Linked DNA regions of Arabidopsis thaliana. The protein of the gene in region 1 interacts with the protein of each later gene in a pairwise test. Each region holds a gene or a part of one and is shown in the gene's direction. Other genes may lie near its edges.

Evidence for each region. The genes of interacting proteins can lie anywhere in the genome.
Region 2: the proteins of NAC050 (region 1) and AT1G23810 interact in a two-hybrid assay, tested with the Arabidopsis thaliana proteins (one large-scale study listed by BioGRID).
Region 3: the proteins of NAC050 (region 1) and FAR1 interact in a two-hybrid assay, tested with the Arabidopsis thaliana proteins (one large-scale study listed by BioGRID).

The regions. Positions count from the first base shown.
Region 1 is NC_003074.8:3,262,717-3,267,608, forward strand, and holds NAC050 (NAC domain containing protein 50), read left to right. Parts: upstream 1-1,631; 5' UTR 1,632-1,693; coding exon 1,694-1,913; intron 1,914-2,103; coding exon 2,104-2,133; intron 2,134-2,214; coding exon 2,215-2,283; intron 2,284-2,387; coding exon 2,388-2,665; intron 2,666-2,756; coding exon 2,757-2,942; intron 2,943-3,085; coding exon 3,086-3,177; intron 3,178-3,288; coding exon 3,289-3,334; intron 3,335-3,405; coding exon 3,406-4,065; 3' UTR 4,066-4,374; downstream 4,375-4,892. UniProt on the Arabidopsis thaliana protein: Transcriptional repressor that binds to the motif 5'-(C/T)A(C/A)G-3' in the promoter of target genes. Also binds to the 5'-CTTGNNNNNCAAG-3' consensus sequence in chromatin.
Region 2 is NC_003070.9:8,415,633-8,419,080, forward strand, and holds AT1G23810 (Paired amphipathic helix (PAH2) superfamily protein), read left to right. Parts: upstream 1-1,862; coding exon 1,863-2,005; intron 2,006-2,087; coding exon 2,088-2,369; intron 2,370-2,470; coding exon 2,471-2,588; intron 2,589-2,668; coding exon 2,669-2,770; intron 2,771-2,853; coding exon 2,854-2,934; downstream 2,935-3,448.
Region 3 is NC_003075.7:8,612,448-8,618,684, forward strand, and holds FAR1 (FRS (FAR1 Related Sequences) transcription factor family), read left to right. Parts: upstream 1-1,612; 5' UTR 1,613-1,826; exon of another isoform or gene 1,827-2,245; 5' UTR 2,246-2,358; coding exon 2,359-4,482; intron 4,483-4,578; coding exon 4,579-4,632; intron 4,633-4,752; coding exon 4,753-4,821; intron 4,822-4,915; coding exon 4,916-4,978; intron 4,979-5,070; coding exon 5,071-5,142; intron 5,143-5,230; coding exon 5,231-5,278; intron 5,279-5,369; coding exon 5,370-5,423; 3' UTR 5,424-5,723; downstream 5,724-6,237. Other genes in the region: catalytic LigB subunit of aromatic ring-opening dioxygenase family, read left to right, coding at 6,007-6,237. UniProt on the Arabidopsis thaliana protein: Transcription activator that recognizes and binds to the DNA consensus sequence 5'-CACGCGC-3'. Activates the expression of FHY1 and FHL involved in light responses. Positive regulator of chlorophyll biosynthesis via the activation of HEMB1 gene expression.

The DNA.
Region 1 (4,892 bases):
AAATAAATAAAATAGAGTTTTCTTTTACTCTTACTTTCTTTATTAGTTTCATAATAATATGTGTAAAAGTAAGAGTTGGATATTTTTCGTTTTAATTTCTGCCTTCGAATTAGTTACGCATACAAAGCATAAGAGACAAGAGACATAGCGTACCAAAAAAGAAGAAAATAGTGCAAAAATATCATATAGTTTTCTGGTACGCCTCATCAATTCCACCCCCGTACACCATAATTATATAGAATTTCAATATCGAAATGTCGACAGCAACAAAATTCAACATGTCGAATAATATTGTTTTAAATATTCCATTTTACTAGAAGATGAAAAAAAGAGAGAAGAAAGTAACCTTTTGTCTTTGTCACCTTGACTTAAACAGTAATACAAACCCCACAAGTAAATTATTCAAGTTCAAATCGTAGTTAATGTTTATATTTGAGAATTGCAAATGGTTTAAACGAAAACCAAACTACGAATTACAAATTTGAAGAGGACTTGTACTAGAAAATAAATAGAGAAAAGAAGAATAATAAATAGTAACAGAAAATGGGAAAGATGATGATTCGTGTGGACCAAGTCTCTCCTCCCCTTTAGCTTGCCTTATTGGTAAAGTATCCTCCTGCAAGCAAACGTATCTGTCACTCCTTTTTTATTTTCTTTCACCTTCTATCTTATTCTCATTAATTCTTCTTTTTTGGTCAACTTCATGTATAGAAAATAATACCAAAATTTTTTGATATAGTAAAACTATTAGAACTGAATTTCAAACAAAAATAATACAAATTTAAGCAAAAAAATATTAAAAATAAATTTTAAAGAATATTTTTACATATAATAAATATACATAGTTGATACTTTTATATAATTATTAATTTATGATATTAATGAGACCATATATTTACATAGAACATTCAAAATAATTATTATCTTATTAATCTATCGATATATATCACTTTTTATACTAGTTTTTGGAATCTTAATAATTTATTAATTTGTAGAAGTTATTAATTTATAGAGGTTTTACTGTACATGTCAGCATTTAACTTTTGATAAGCACAAAACCATTACATATTTTCCAACCAGATTATTTTCTATTTATCCTAGCGTTTGTAAATCTTTGAACTACAATAATTTATCAAATACAATATAAGATTTTTATACTAAAGATGTATACAATGCATTTAACATTAAAGGAAACAAATAAACTCTAATCTTTTAAAAAAATACTTTACCTTTTAAAAAGAGTTATTAATCACATAAGCAATATTTAATTTTTCATTATTTTTTTCATCATCTGTCTAACATATTACTTTTTAAAAAATATTTATCGTTGGATACTTACTTTTCAGACCACACACTAGGACTAGTGGTTCCTTTATTTTACTGCATAGAACGACAACAAAAAGCTAAGCAGTAACATTTTTTAGGGTTTTATTACTGCAACACTCAAAAATGAGAAATTATTATTAAAATTGAAAATGAAAAATAGTAATCGCAATCCGAAATTACTTTTTTTCTAGCCTTCTAGGAACTCGAAAAGAAAGCAAATTTCTTGCAATTGAAGGTACCTGCTTCTCTTTTTCTGGTTTGTCTGGTTTCATATTAAAAAAAACATTTTGACAACTATATTTCTGGTTTGTCTGAAAAAATTGAGAAGAAAACCTAGAAACAAATACGGTCTTTTTTTTTTCTTTTTATGGGTCGCGAATCTCTGGCTGTTGTGTCCTCGCCGCCATCGGCGACTGCGCCCAGTACTGCTGTGTCGGCTACCTCGCTTGCTCCTGGCTTTCGATTTCATCCGACTGATGAGGAACTCGTGAGCTATTACTTGAAGAGGAAGGTTCTGGGTAAACCTGTACGCTTCGATGCGATTGGAGAGGTAGATATCTACAAGCATGAGCCCTGGGATTTAGCAGGTTCGTTAGGTTTCTTCTTCTTCATTTCTGCTTATCTCTATGATTTGGGGGTTTCTGTGAATTTGATGCTTCTGATTTGGGATTTTTGTCGCCTGGGCTTATTGGTTGTTCCGTCTTCTGGCTCAATTCTGGGAAATGAGTTTAGCTTTTACGTGCTCCGATTCGTTTTCTGGGAAATTTTTTGTTGCAGAGAAGATTCTCTGTTCGTACCTGGCGCTAAGTTTAGGCAATTAGGCTTTAACACTGTGAAGACATTCCATCCAATTGACTTCTTAACTGAAGAAAGTCGAATTTTCTTCAGATTGCTTTAAGAATTTCGTGTTTGCTTGTGCTACAGTTATGTTTGCTTGTGCTACAGTTATGTTTGCTTGTGGATCAGGAAATGAAGTTTGTTGCTTGTGTGTTTGGCTATCTGAAGTGTTCTCAAGTATGATCTGAAAGAAAAAAAACCTTGTGATGTGTTGTGTGTTTCAGTGTTTTCGAAGTTGAAAACTCGGGACCAAGAATGGTACTTCTTCAGTGCGTTAGATAAGAAGTACGGTAATGGTGCTAGGATGAATCGAGCAACTAACAAAGGGTACTGGAAAGCAACTGGAAAAGACAGAGAAATCCGCCGGGATATTCAGTTGCTCGGTATGAAAAAGACGCTTGTTTTCCACAGCGGGCGTGCTCCAGACGGCCTTCGGACTAATTGGGTCATGCACGAGTATCGCCTTGTGGAATATGAAACTGAAACTAACGGAAGCCTGCTGGTATTATGTTGTCCAAAAGAGTTACTTTTGAATTGGGGTTATCTCATTTTGTAAGAATCCTATCTTATCTTACTTCTTTGTCTGGGTGCAGCAGGATGCATATGTGTTGTGCAGAGTGTTTCACAAGAATAACATTGGGCCACCAAGTGGGAACAGATATGCGCCATTCATGGAAGAAGAATGGGCTGATGGTGGAGGAGCTCTGATTCCAGGAATAGACGTTAGGGTCAGGGTAGAGGCTCTACCACAAGCCAATGGAAACAACCAGATGGACCAGGTTTGTACTTTCTTTATACTCAAATGTTTCTTATATGCATAACCTCTGTGATACATCCCTCTAATGTGAATCATCTCTCTTGATTCACAAGATATTATATTTCTTATTGCAAAAGCTCTTTGCTTCTCTAAGTGCTGTTTCAGTGGGCTGATTTACTTAAACTGCACAATTCCATTAAGTTTGCTATCACCTTTTGTAGAACTCAGCTCAACCTTACAGCTTTATCTAATGAAAGGTCTCTCTTGATTCACAAGATATCTAATTTTTCTTTATGGTCCTTTTTCTTTGAGATTTATCCTTTGATTACATGATATTTCAGACTTACAATCTTCGTTTGGCATTAAAGGTGCTCAACAAGAGAAATATTTATTGTGTTTTGGTTAATCTGCAAAGTCGATCAACGCGTTTTGGTTTGAGATATTTTATGTCTGTTGGGGTTCACATAACTTGTAATTTGTTGTAGGAAATGCATTCAGCAAGCAAGGATCTCATTAACATCAACGAGCTACCGAGAGATGCTACTCCAATGGACATCGAACCTAACCAACAGAATCATCATGAGAGTGCCTTCAAGCCACAGGAGAGTAACAACCATAGTGGTTATGAAGAAGATGAGGACACACTCAAACGCGAGCACGCAGAAGAAGATGAGCGTCCTCCTTCTCTATGCATTCTCAACAAAGAAGCTCCACTACCTCTCCTGCAATACAAACGTAGACGCCAAAACGAGTCCAACAACAACTCAAGCAGGAACACACAGGACCATTGTTCGTCCACAATAACAACCGTCGACAATACAACCACCTTAATCTCATCATCTGCTGCTGCTGCTACCAACACTGCCATCTCTGCATTGCTTGAGTTCTCACTTATGGGTATCTCCGACAAGAAAGAAAACCAGCAGAAAGAGGAAACTTCTCCTCCTAGTCCAATTGCATCTCCTGAAGAGAAGGTTAATGATCTCCAGAAGGAGGTTCACCAGATGTCTGTTGAAAGAGAAACTTTCAAGCTTGAGATGATGAGTGCAGAGGCTATGATCAGCATTCTCCAGTCAAGAATCGATGCGCTGCGTCAGGAGAACGAGGAACTTAAGAAGAAGAACGCCAGTGGACAAGCTAGTTAAACCACCGCAACATCTCTCCAGGTGTCTTCTTCTTCTTCTTCTTCTTCTTTGCCTCTTAGCTGTAATCTTCTTAATAGTATGAGCTATGGATGTAGCTTCTTCAGACGGATCAGAAACCTTATGAATCTCTGTTGTAAAATTAGGATAAAACGGAACGGAGCCAACCAACTAGGTCTTTTTATTTTATCCTTTTTTACTTTGGATGTTTCTGCATCTTTTGGGAACATTTTCAGGCTGATCCATTGTCGTATATTATCATCTATCTATCTAGTCTTTTCAGACAAGAACTCGCTTTTGTTTGGTTTCCTCTCAAGAAATGTTCAGTCTCCATAAAGAAAGCTTTTTCCTTGGGGTAATCATTAGTGGTCAGATATGAGGGCATAATCGTCATTGTCATTTGAAATGACCTTCTGGTCTTCCGGACAAGAACCACTCTGTTGCTTGATGTTTCTGTGTGACTGTCTCCACAGTCCACAGGGAAGAGAGCTTCTTAGGTAAAGTCGTGATTAGTGGAAATGATTGAGGGTATAATCGTCATTGACTAATTCAGCGTTACGATTTAGGAATGTGGTTCCGTCAACGACGTTAGAAGACTTTTGTTACACGTAATTTGCAATTATTTGTTTTTTCTCTAAAAGCGAAAAGCGCTTGGTACGATTCAAGCCTGGATTCCATCTCTCTCCCATTAAGTTTTCAAGAAGAAGTTTTGATCACAGACGTATTTTCGAAATGGTTTCATATCTTACTAGGCAATGGAATTTCGTAGGTGTTATAGAGTTTGGTGTTTATATTTTACTTTTAACTACATCGTCCTATTATACGGAACC
Region 2 (3,448 bases), on another chromosome or scaffold:
TAGTCATCATTCTATACTAATAATATTTCTTGTTATCACTAAGATATGATCTTGATGACAATGTTACACAGTTACAATACGTATAACTCAGTTTGGACTTTGGATCCAACCTTACAAAAACAGAACAATTCGATGGACAAGGCTATATTTTAGCCATAATCTCCTTATTACTAGGTAGTTTCAAGTTTTTCAAGATTTATATACTATGTAATTGTTCTGTGTTAAAAAGTGTTGGTTTTTTATAGCTTTTTTTTTTGTTGACACAAAGCTTTTTTAAAAAAACAAATGACGACAAATTTATACAAAACTGACAGAAACTGGTTTAGTTAGCTATGGAAACTTATATGAGCGTTAAAAAAATGCTAATGCACATTGATTATCACGTTTTCATAGTTAGAAGTACGAAAAACCTTTAAAAAAATTTGGGATTTCCAAACATCTTTTCATGCATAACCAAATATATATATTTTCATAGTGCATAGACATTATCGATACGTAAACGTATTTCTTTTTGTTTCTTTATAGAAAATTCATTTTAGCATTTACTTGTTTATCTCTACCAACTTTTCTTTTAATAGATAGATAAAAAGAAGGGATTATTGTGTCATGACTTTTTTTTCTCCATAATGTTTTCGTATAAGATTCGACTATATATACAGTAATAGACCGTCCGTTCGAAATTATTAACACGAACTAGGAACAAACGTATGAAATTGAAACATCATTATCAAATGTTCGGTACTTCGTATATTATAGAAGTAGCTAGCTAGATTACTAGGATGATCCAAAATACCTCATAAACACTACACTTTGATAGGGAAAAAATATAGTTAACATAAACAAATATCGTCTCTACAAAGTAATGTATTTTTTGCTAAAAAAAAAGGAAGGTATATGTCAATTGAAAAATAATCAAACCAAATGTAAAAAAAAAAGTATATGCTAAAAAAAAAATGTACATGCTGCATTATGTTGTTTTTTGCGAAAAATAGGTCCTGAAATGGGCTACTATTATTAGTGGGCCAAACCTTGCGATCCAATTCCCTAATGACGGTATAGGGCGTGCACTGGTGGAAGACTAGCTATTGATTTATATATGTTTGGAGTTTGGACTAAAATAAATAGAAATATCTGTATTCCAATTATATATAAAAAATTCTCATCGTCTTTGATATATAGAAAGTTTTTAAAATTTCAGTTTCACAGATGTTACCAGTTCTAGTTTTATAAGCTTATGCTAATTATCTGATCAATGCAAACAAAAGTTGACAATAATAAAATGAAGTCTTTTTTTTTCCGCAAAATAAAATGAAGTCAAATATGGTATATTCCTACTATAAATATAGACTAAGACTCGTGAATAATACTCGAATCAGTCTCTGAGGTTTTGCTGGAAAAAAAAACCGAAGAGCTCAAAACAGAGTGCGTTTGTTTCTGGGAATCTTGAAGCCTCTCACTTGCGAAGACGAAGCTTGCTTGTTAGGTAGTTATCTTCTTCTTCTTCTTCGTTTCAATTCCTTTTTCGTTCATCTGAAATGTGAAATCATGTGACGTGACGATTGGGTTAACGATCGAATTTCGTATATGATTCTTTTCTAGTTTCTTTAATCAGCAAGTCTTGTTGTTTTCTTTCAATCGAGACTGATTCTAGATGTTCTTAAGGATCTTGTTCGATGAAATTTACATGAATCTGTATTCTAGAAGATGAACTTTGCATGAATCATCCATATCGACGAACTGATCTTGTTGTTGTTATGGATTAAGTTTCTTGAGATACAAGAAAGGCTTCAATGACCAATCTGATCTGTTTTGATGAACACAAATCTTTATCTTTGAACAATGGATTAGGTCAATTTCACACCATGGCTGGAGGAAGTAAATCACCGGCGTCATCTTTGGAAGATGGAAAGGCATACGTCAATGCTGTGAAGGTCGCATTGGAGGAAGCGGAACCTGCAAAATATCAAGAGTTTCTAAGACTCTTTCATGAGGTGATAGCGCGAAGGTGTGTTTGGTTTGCTCTTAAACAGTCTAAAGAACAAAGACACATGTGAGAATTGATTCTAATGTTATTTTTATCTTTGTAGGATGGGTATGGCTACTTTCAGTGCACGCATGCAGGACCTCTTGAAAGATCACCCGAGTCTGTGTCTTGGTTTAAATGTCATGCTTGCACCTGAGTATCAGAGAGCCATCCCTCCCGAGGCTAGCGAAGAGTTTCATAAGGTGGTTGGAAGAAGCGTACCACGTCCGGAGCCTACCATAGATGATGCGACTTCATACCTCATTGCTGTGAAGGAAGCATTTCATGATGAACCTGCAAAATATGAGGAAATGCTTAAGCTCTTGAATGATTTTAAAGCTCGCAGGTATGTATTAGTTCTTTTCTCCATGTTATGTTTGATTTTCTCAGTCTACAGAACAAATACATTATGTAAATTGATTCTGATGTTACTAAGTCTCTTTGTAGAGTCAATGCCGCTAGTGTCATTGCTAGGGTGGAGGAACTCATGAAAGATCACTCGAATCTGCTTTTTGGTTTCTGTGTCTTCCTTTCAGCTACAACGAGTTTTACCACGAAGCTTAAGGTATAGAGTGCTTATAGGTACCATTTGATATTTCCTATATGTTCACTTGCGGTTTAAGTAACAAAATTGTCCATATGCAGGCAAAGTTTCAGGGCGATGGTAGTCAAGTAGTTGACTCAGTTCTTCAGATAATGAGAATGTACGGTGAGGGAAACAAGTCCAAACATGATGCGTATCAGGAGGTAGGCTTCTTGGTAGGATACTTTGTGTTGTGTGTTGCACTTTCTTAGTTCTTTGGTTTCATTTGCTTTGTTATCTTTTGCAGATCGTTGCACTTGTTCAGGGTCATGACGATTTAGTCATGGAGCTTTCACAAATTTTCACTGATCCATCTACTAGAGTCTAGAGATGACTAAGGACGGTACTGGAAGGCTTCTAACGAAAAGAGAGTGATTTTAGTTTTCTTTTGCAAACATTTGAGTTTGGTTTGATTAACATGACATTCACAAATATGCTATGCTTCTATGTTGAGGTATATTGTACAATGAATTGGCGTATAAGAGACTAAAAGAGAGTGTATAGTTTCTTTTGTTGAGGTTTCTTTGATATCAAATGTTTTTTCACTAAATAAATATTTCCTCGTTACCAAGAAGACATGAGATTTGGGCCGTGTAGATATTTTTTGGGTCGTGTTTGCATAAGAAACTGAGAGGGGAAACACTAAAAAAACAGAGTTCAGCTAGAAACAAAAACAGAGAGGAAGAGAGCCCAAACTTACGCCTGGCCAAAAAATACAGAGCAAAACAAACAAAGTCAAGTAATTCTAATAACAAATATATTTTCTAATTTAAGTAAACCTTATATGAATTACGAAATTGATAATAAGATTTTATAGAAAAAAATTAAATTCAATATTTATA
Region 3 (6,237 bases), on another chromosome or scaffold:
AGGAAAGTAAACTCCTGTAATATATTAAATTGAAAATAAAAGAAAAATAACGAATGTGAAATTAGAGATGACCTAAGCGAATTCAAAGTTAGCAAATTTAGAGTCGAATAGCGAAGAAAAAGCTTACTGTGTAGCCATGGCGGAGACCAAAGTAACTGGAGAAGGAAGAAGAGAGAGAGAAATGGAAGAAGGAATAAAAGAGAGAATTTTTAGAAGAAAGAAAAAAGACAAAATAGAAAAGCGTTGACAGGCTAAAAGAGCGAGACGGACAAATGAAAGTGGTTACTGGTTACTATTAGTACCAACGCTGGATTTTTAGCTTACGTGTCTATTTCACCTCTTTGATATTTTCTTTTTTTCCGTAGCAAATTTTAATTATTTTTAAATTATATAACCATTATTAATGATAATATGGTAGCTTAAAGTATTAATTAAATAATATAATTTTTATATAATATTAAAAAGTTCTCAGTAATACTTAAATATATATATATTAGAAAGTTATTTAATGTCTAAATTTCAGATTTTTAGAAGAATTTAGCCAAATTAAATCAAATATTAAAAGATTTTGCTGTTTAAAAAGGAATTAAATCAAAAAATATTAAATGAATTAAAAACAATTATCTTCCACTCCACATAAAAAAAAAGATATGTGAGTAGAAAAGAAAAAAAATATTAAAAGATAAGATGCAAACCCTGCATTTGTAACTCCATAACTAAATCTAAAAGCAAGTGACTCAGAGCACAACTCTCGTACAATTTGCCCTACAGTTTTATTTATATTTGGTGGCAAATGTCAGCTCTGTTTTGATGTGAAAGCCATCAACATCATGTAATTGATTAGCATATTACATATAGAATATGAGATACCCACATATATATAGAAAAAATGACGGTAAAGATTAAAAAAAAAAGTATACTTGATTTGTCATAATAAGAATAAGCATGTATCTCATATGTACAAAAATAGATTTAATGTTATTTATTTTAATATTCTTGTATTTTTTGTTTTATTTGAACTTATAATAAAAAAAAAACTGTAGATATTAATAGTTATGTAAAAATCATAAAAATAGATGTAAAAATCATATTAAAAGTTATGATAAATTTAGTTTACTACATAACTCTTTTGAAAAATGTGGAAAAATTATAGTAAACTGTATGAAAAGAAGATTATCATACAGTTAAAATTAAAATCTTTTAGAACATGTGTAGTGGTGGTTTCTAACCAAAGTTTTTAATTTACTAAAGTAATAATAATAAAAAAAATATTTAATTTGAAGAGTTTTTTAAAATAGTTTTTTCAAATCTTTTAAATTAAAAACTTTCTCATATTTTCTTAGAAATTGTTTTAATTAAAAAAATATTGTTTATTATTTTATTATTATTAATGTAGGCGAGAGATTTTGGTAAAAAATCACAATGCTGATGCTTTTAAAATAATCAATTTTTCTAAGAATACATAAATCAGCAATGCTTCTCACACGCCAAACGTAAATATAGACGCGATTATGAAAAAAAATCGCGTCGAAAACAAACGTCATTATGTCATTACACGTGTTACCAATCAAAAAGCCTTTATGTTTAATTAGTAAAGGCTAGTAAGAGATTTACAACAAATGAAAAAAATAAAAATAAAAACATAATCCAAGATCCCTAAAAATTCCCAAAAAGAACCCTAGATTTTCTCCTCTCACGCTCCTTGGTTCCTCACTCGCTTTTGCTTCCCCACTCGCCTGCTTCGTGTTCTTCTTTGCTTTGCTCTTTTCACGTCAGAATTTTGCCTTCCCTCCCTTTGTCTCTCTCTGGGTGGCCGAGAAAATACAGTAAAAAGCCCTCACCAATCCAAAAGTTTGACATTTCCTGAATTTTGTAGTCTCTTCATTTGAATTCTCAGGTTTTCTCTTAAGATACATTAAAGTCTCTGTCTTTTATGCTGATACTAATGAAAGTTCAGTTCTTTCACTGAAATTTTAGAACCAGAACTTTTCTACTACTAGAAGTATGTTGTCTCTGACTCTCTTAGTTTGAGTTCTCAGGTCTCCTTCTCTTATTTGTGTGAAATTTTACTCTTTTTTGGCTTTAGAAACAGAACTTTTCTACTATTAGAAGTTATGTTGTTGAAAGTTCTTCACTTTCATTTGATTCCATTGATTTCATATTGCTTTGTGTGTTTCAAGTTTGATGTTTTTAGGTAGAAGATGTCGCGCTGGTTCTTATGAAGTTTGGTTGTGACATTTTTCAGGTGCTAAGGTGGATTATCTAGTAGAAAGATTTCAGTTTCCAATTTCATGGAAGCCCATAGTGGGGTAGTTGCTTTTGAGTGTGTTAGTGAATCCATATGTGGCTAAGGTTAGGATGGATTTGCAAGAGAATCTGGTTAGTGATGCAGGGGATGACCATATGGTTGACATTGTAGTTGAACCGCATAGTAACAGAGATATAGGAATTGTTGATGAGTTCAATATAGGTGGAGATGTTGGATTTAGTGGTGATCTGGATCTTGAGCCACGAAATGGTATAGACTTTGATACCCATGAGGCAGCGTATATCTTTTATCAGGAATATGCAAAATCTATGGGTTTTACTACGTCGATTAAAAACAGTAGACGTTCCAAGAAAACTAAAGACTTCATTGATGCTAAGTTTGCTTGTTCCAGATATGGTGTGACTCCTGAGTCTGAGAGTAGTGGTAGTAGTAGTCGAAGGTCAACTGTGAAAAAAACAGATTGCAAGGCTAGTATGCATGTGAAGAGAAGACCAGATGGGAAATGGATCATTCATGAGTTTGTAAAGGATCACAATCACGAACTTTTACCTGCCCTTGCTTATCATTTCCGGATTCAGAGGAATGTCAAGTTAGCTGAGAAGAATAATATCGACATTCTGCATGCGGTTAGTGAACGGACCAAAAAAATGTATGTTGAAATGTCGAGACAATCTGGCGGATATAAGAATATCGGGTCTCTTCTTCAGACCGATGTCAGCAGTCAGGTTGATAAGGGTAGGTATCTAGCTTTGGAAGAAGGAGATTCTCAAGTACTGCTTGAGTACTTCAAGCGTATCAAGAAAGAAAACCCTAAATTCTTTTATGCTATAGACCTGAACGAGGACCAACGTTTAAGAAATCTGTTTTGGGCTGATGCCAAGAGCAGAGATGACTATTTGAGTTTCAATGATGTTGTATCCTTTGATACTACTTATGTCAAGTTTAACGATAAGTTGCCACTAGCTTTATTTATTGGGGTGAACCATCACTCCCAACCTATGTTACTAGGCTGTGCATTGGTTGCTGATGAGTCTATGGAGACTTTTGTGTGGCTGATAAAAACATGGCTACGAGCAATGGGTGGTCGAGCTCCTAAAGTTATACTCACTGACCAAGATAAATTCTTGATGTCTGCTGTTTCAGAGCTCCTACCAAACACTCGTCATTGCTTTGCGTTATGGCATGTTTTAGAAAAGATTCCTGAATATTTCTCACATGTGATGAAACGGCACGAGAATTTCTTACTGAAATTCAACAAATGCATTTTCAGATCTTGGACAGATGATGAGTTTGATATGAGGTGGTGGAAAATGGTCAGCCAGTTTGGACTTGAGAATGATGAATGGCTGCTATGGTTGCATGAACATCGCCAAAAGTGGGTGCCCACATTTATGAGCGATGTGTTTCTGGCAGGCATGTCGACATCTCAACGTTCAGAAAGTGTGAACTCTTTCTTCGATAAGTACATCCATAAGAAAATCACGCTGAAAGAGTTCTTGAGGCAATACGGTGTGATTCTGCAGAATAGGTACGAAGAGGAATCTGTTGCAGATTTCGATACTTGCCACAAGCAACCTGCATTGAAGTCCCCCTCGCCCTGGGAGAAGCAAATGGCAACAACTTACACCCACACAATATTTAAGAAATTTCAAGTCGAGGTCTTGGGGGTTGTCGCTTGCCATCCTAGAAAGGAAAAAGAAGATGAAAATATGGCGACGTTTAGAGTTCAAGACTGTGAAAAAGACGATGACTTTCTTGTAACGTGGAGCAAAACTAAGTCAGAACTTTGCTGCTTCTGTCGTATGTTTGAATACAAAGGGTTTCTTTGTCGGCATGCTTTGATGATTCTGCAGATGTGTGGTTTCGCCAGCATCCCGCCTCAGTATATATTGAAAAGGTGGACAAAAGATGCTAAGAGTGGAGTATTAGCTGGTGAAGGAGCAGACCAGATACAGACCCGAGTTCAGCGCTATAACGATTTGTGTAGTCGAGCCACTGAATTGAGTGAGGAAGGTTGTGTGTCAGAAGAAAACTACAACATCGCATTGCGCACACTAGTCGAGACCCTGAAAAATTGTGTTGATATGAATAATGCTAGAAACAACATCACTGAGTCTAATAGCCAGCTTAATAATGGTACTCACGAAGAAGAAAACCAGGTAATGGCTGGGGTAAAAGCAACAAAAAAGAAGACTGTATATAGGAAAAGAAAGGTATGCTTTTACTGAAGCTTCTCGCCAATCTAAACCTACGTACATTTTCTTAGCTTCAAAGGTTAAAAAGAAGATACTCAAATTGATCTTATGCAGGGACAACAAGAGGCTAGCCAAATGCTTGAATCTCAACAGAGCTTGCAACCAATGGTTTGTGCTTTGATTTGATCTTCTCTAATTAGTTTGATCATTGTAACTGCACATTGCTTTATGAGATTAAGAGTAGGATGTCTTGGATATATGGCCTTATAGTTTTAACATTTTGTGCAGGAAACTATAAGTTCAGAGGCGATGGACATGAATGGTTACTATGGTCCTCAACAGAACGTTCAAGGACTGGTATGCTATGTTAGTTGATTAATACAAACCTGGTTAAGCCATTCGACATCTATTATAAACCCTAATACTAAACCTGTTTAAACTGTGGATATAGTTAAATTTAATGGAGCCACCTCATGAAGGCTACTATGTAGATCAACGAACCATCCAAGGCCTGGTAGGTTACATATAGTTTAAATGCTTGAATCTCCCAAATCTGTGCTAGAGTATAAGTCAACGACATGAATTTTGGTTCTTTTGACTCTTCAGGGACAACTGAATTCGATAGCACCGGCGCAGGATAGCTTCTTCACGAATCAGCAAGCCATGTCTGGGATGGTGGTACATTATAAAATCCTTCAAACTGATTTTAAAAACTGTGTTATGAATGATCGTGTTGTTAACATCTTTTGTTTATTGTCCGGTCCAGGGTCAAATCGATTTCAGACCTCCTCCCAATTTCACTTACACTTTACAGGTCTCAGCTGCCTGGATAAAGTCTTTACTTTAGTATCATTTTGTACTCGAACCACACGTGTTGATATCGTTAAATCTTTTCGTTATTCCAGGAAGAGCATTTGAGTTCTGCCCAATTACCTGGTAGTTCATCAAGGCAGCTATAGTAGCAACACGTTTTGATTACTTTGGAGAGAAGTTTTGTCTCAGGAAACATTTGCAAGAAGCTGTTCCAAACATGAGAAAAACACAAGATCTTTCATGGAGCTGAGTTGCAATGACAAGATGTAATCTTTTCTTAAATTGGTTTCTGTATATTATGGGATTGCCTTATGATGTATTAATGTGGGATGAAATATTGTGTTATCTGATTGAATGTCTTGAGATTTAATAGATGCACTTGTAACAACATCTTTATCTAAACACATAGAAATCTATCCTCTGTGTATTAGTCAAACAAGTAATTTTGAGATCACATTAAATCAAAATTGTTAAAACAGGTTTCAACTTATTTAGTAGAAACAAAAAGTTATTTTTAGATTAAATGTGGTTAATTTGGTTAAATACACATTCCCTGGTCGTTGTCGTATGTAGGTGTGTCCCTTTTGACAAAACAAACAAACAGAAAAGGTTTCTTTATTCAGACAACATCAAAACTGGGGAAGAACCAAAACTAATAGAGTTGGTCAAAAGAAACATTTGCAAAAAAAAAAAAAGAGAGGCAAAGATCTCGAGAGATTTCAATTTTCAATGGAGAAAGTGAATCAAACCTTCTTCTTATCTCATGGATCTCCAACTTTGAGCATAGATGATTCCTTGGAAGCGAGACAATTCTTCAAATCATGGACTCAAAAAGTTCTTCCTCAAAAACCCAAATCGATTTTAGTCATCTCTGCTCATTGGGACACCAAATTCCCATCTGTCAACACTGTTCTTCGCAATAACACGATCCACGATTTCTCTGGCTTCCCTGATCCTATG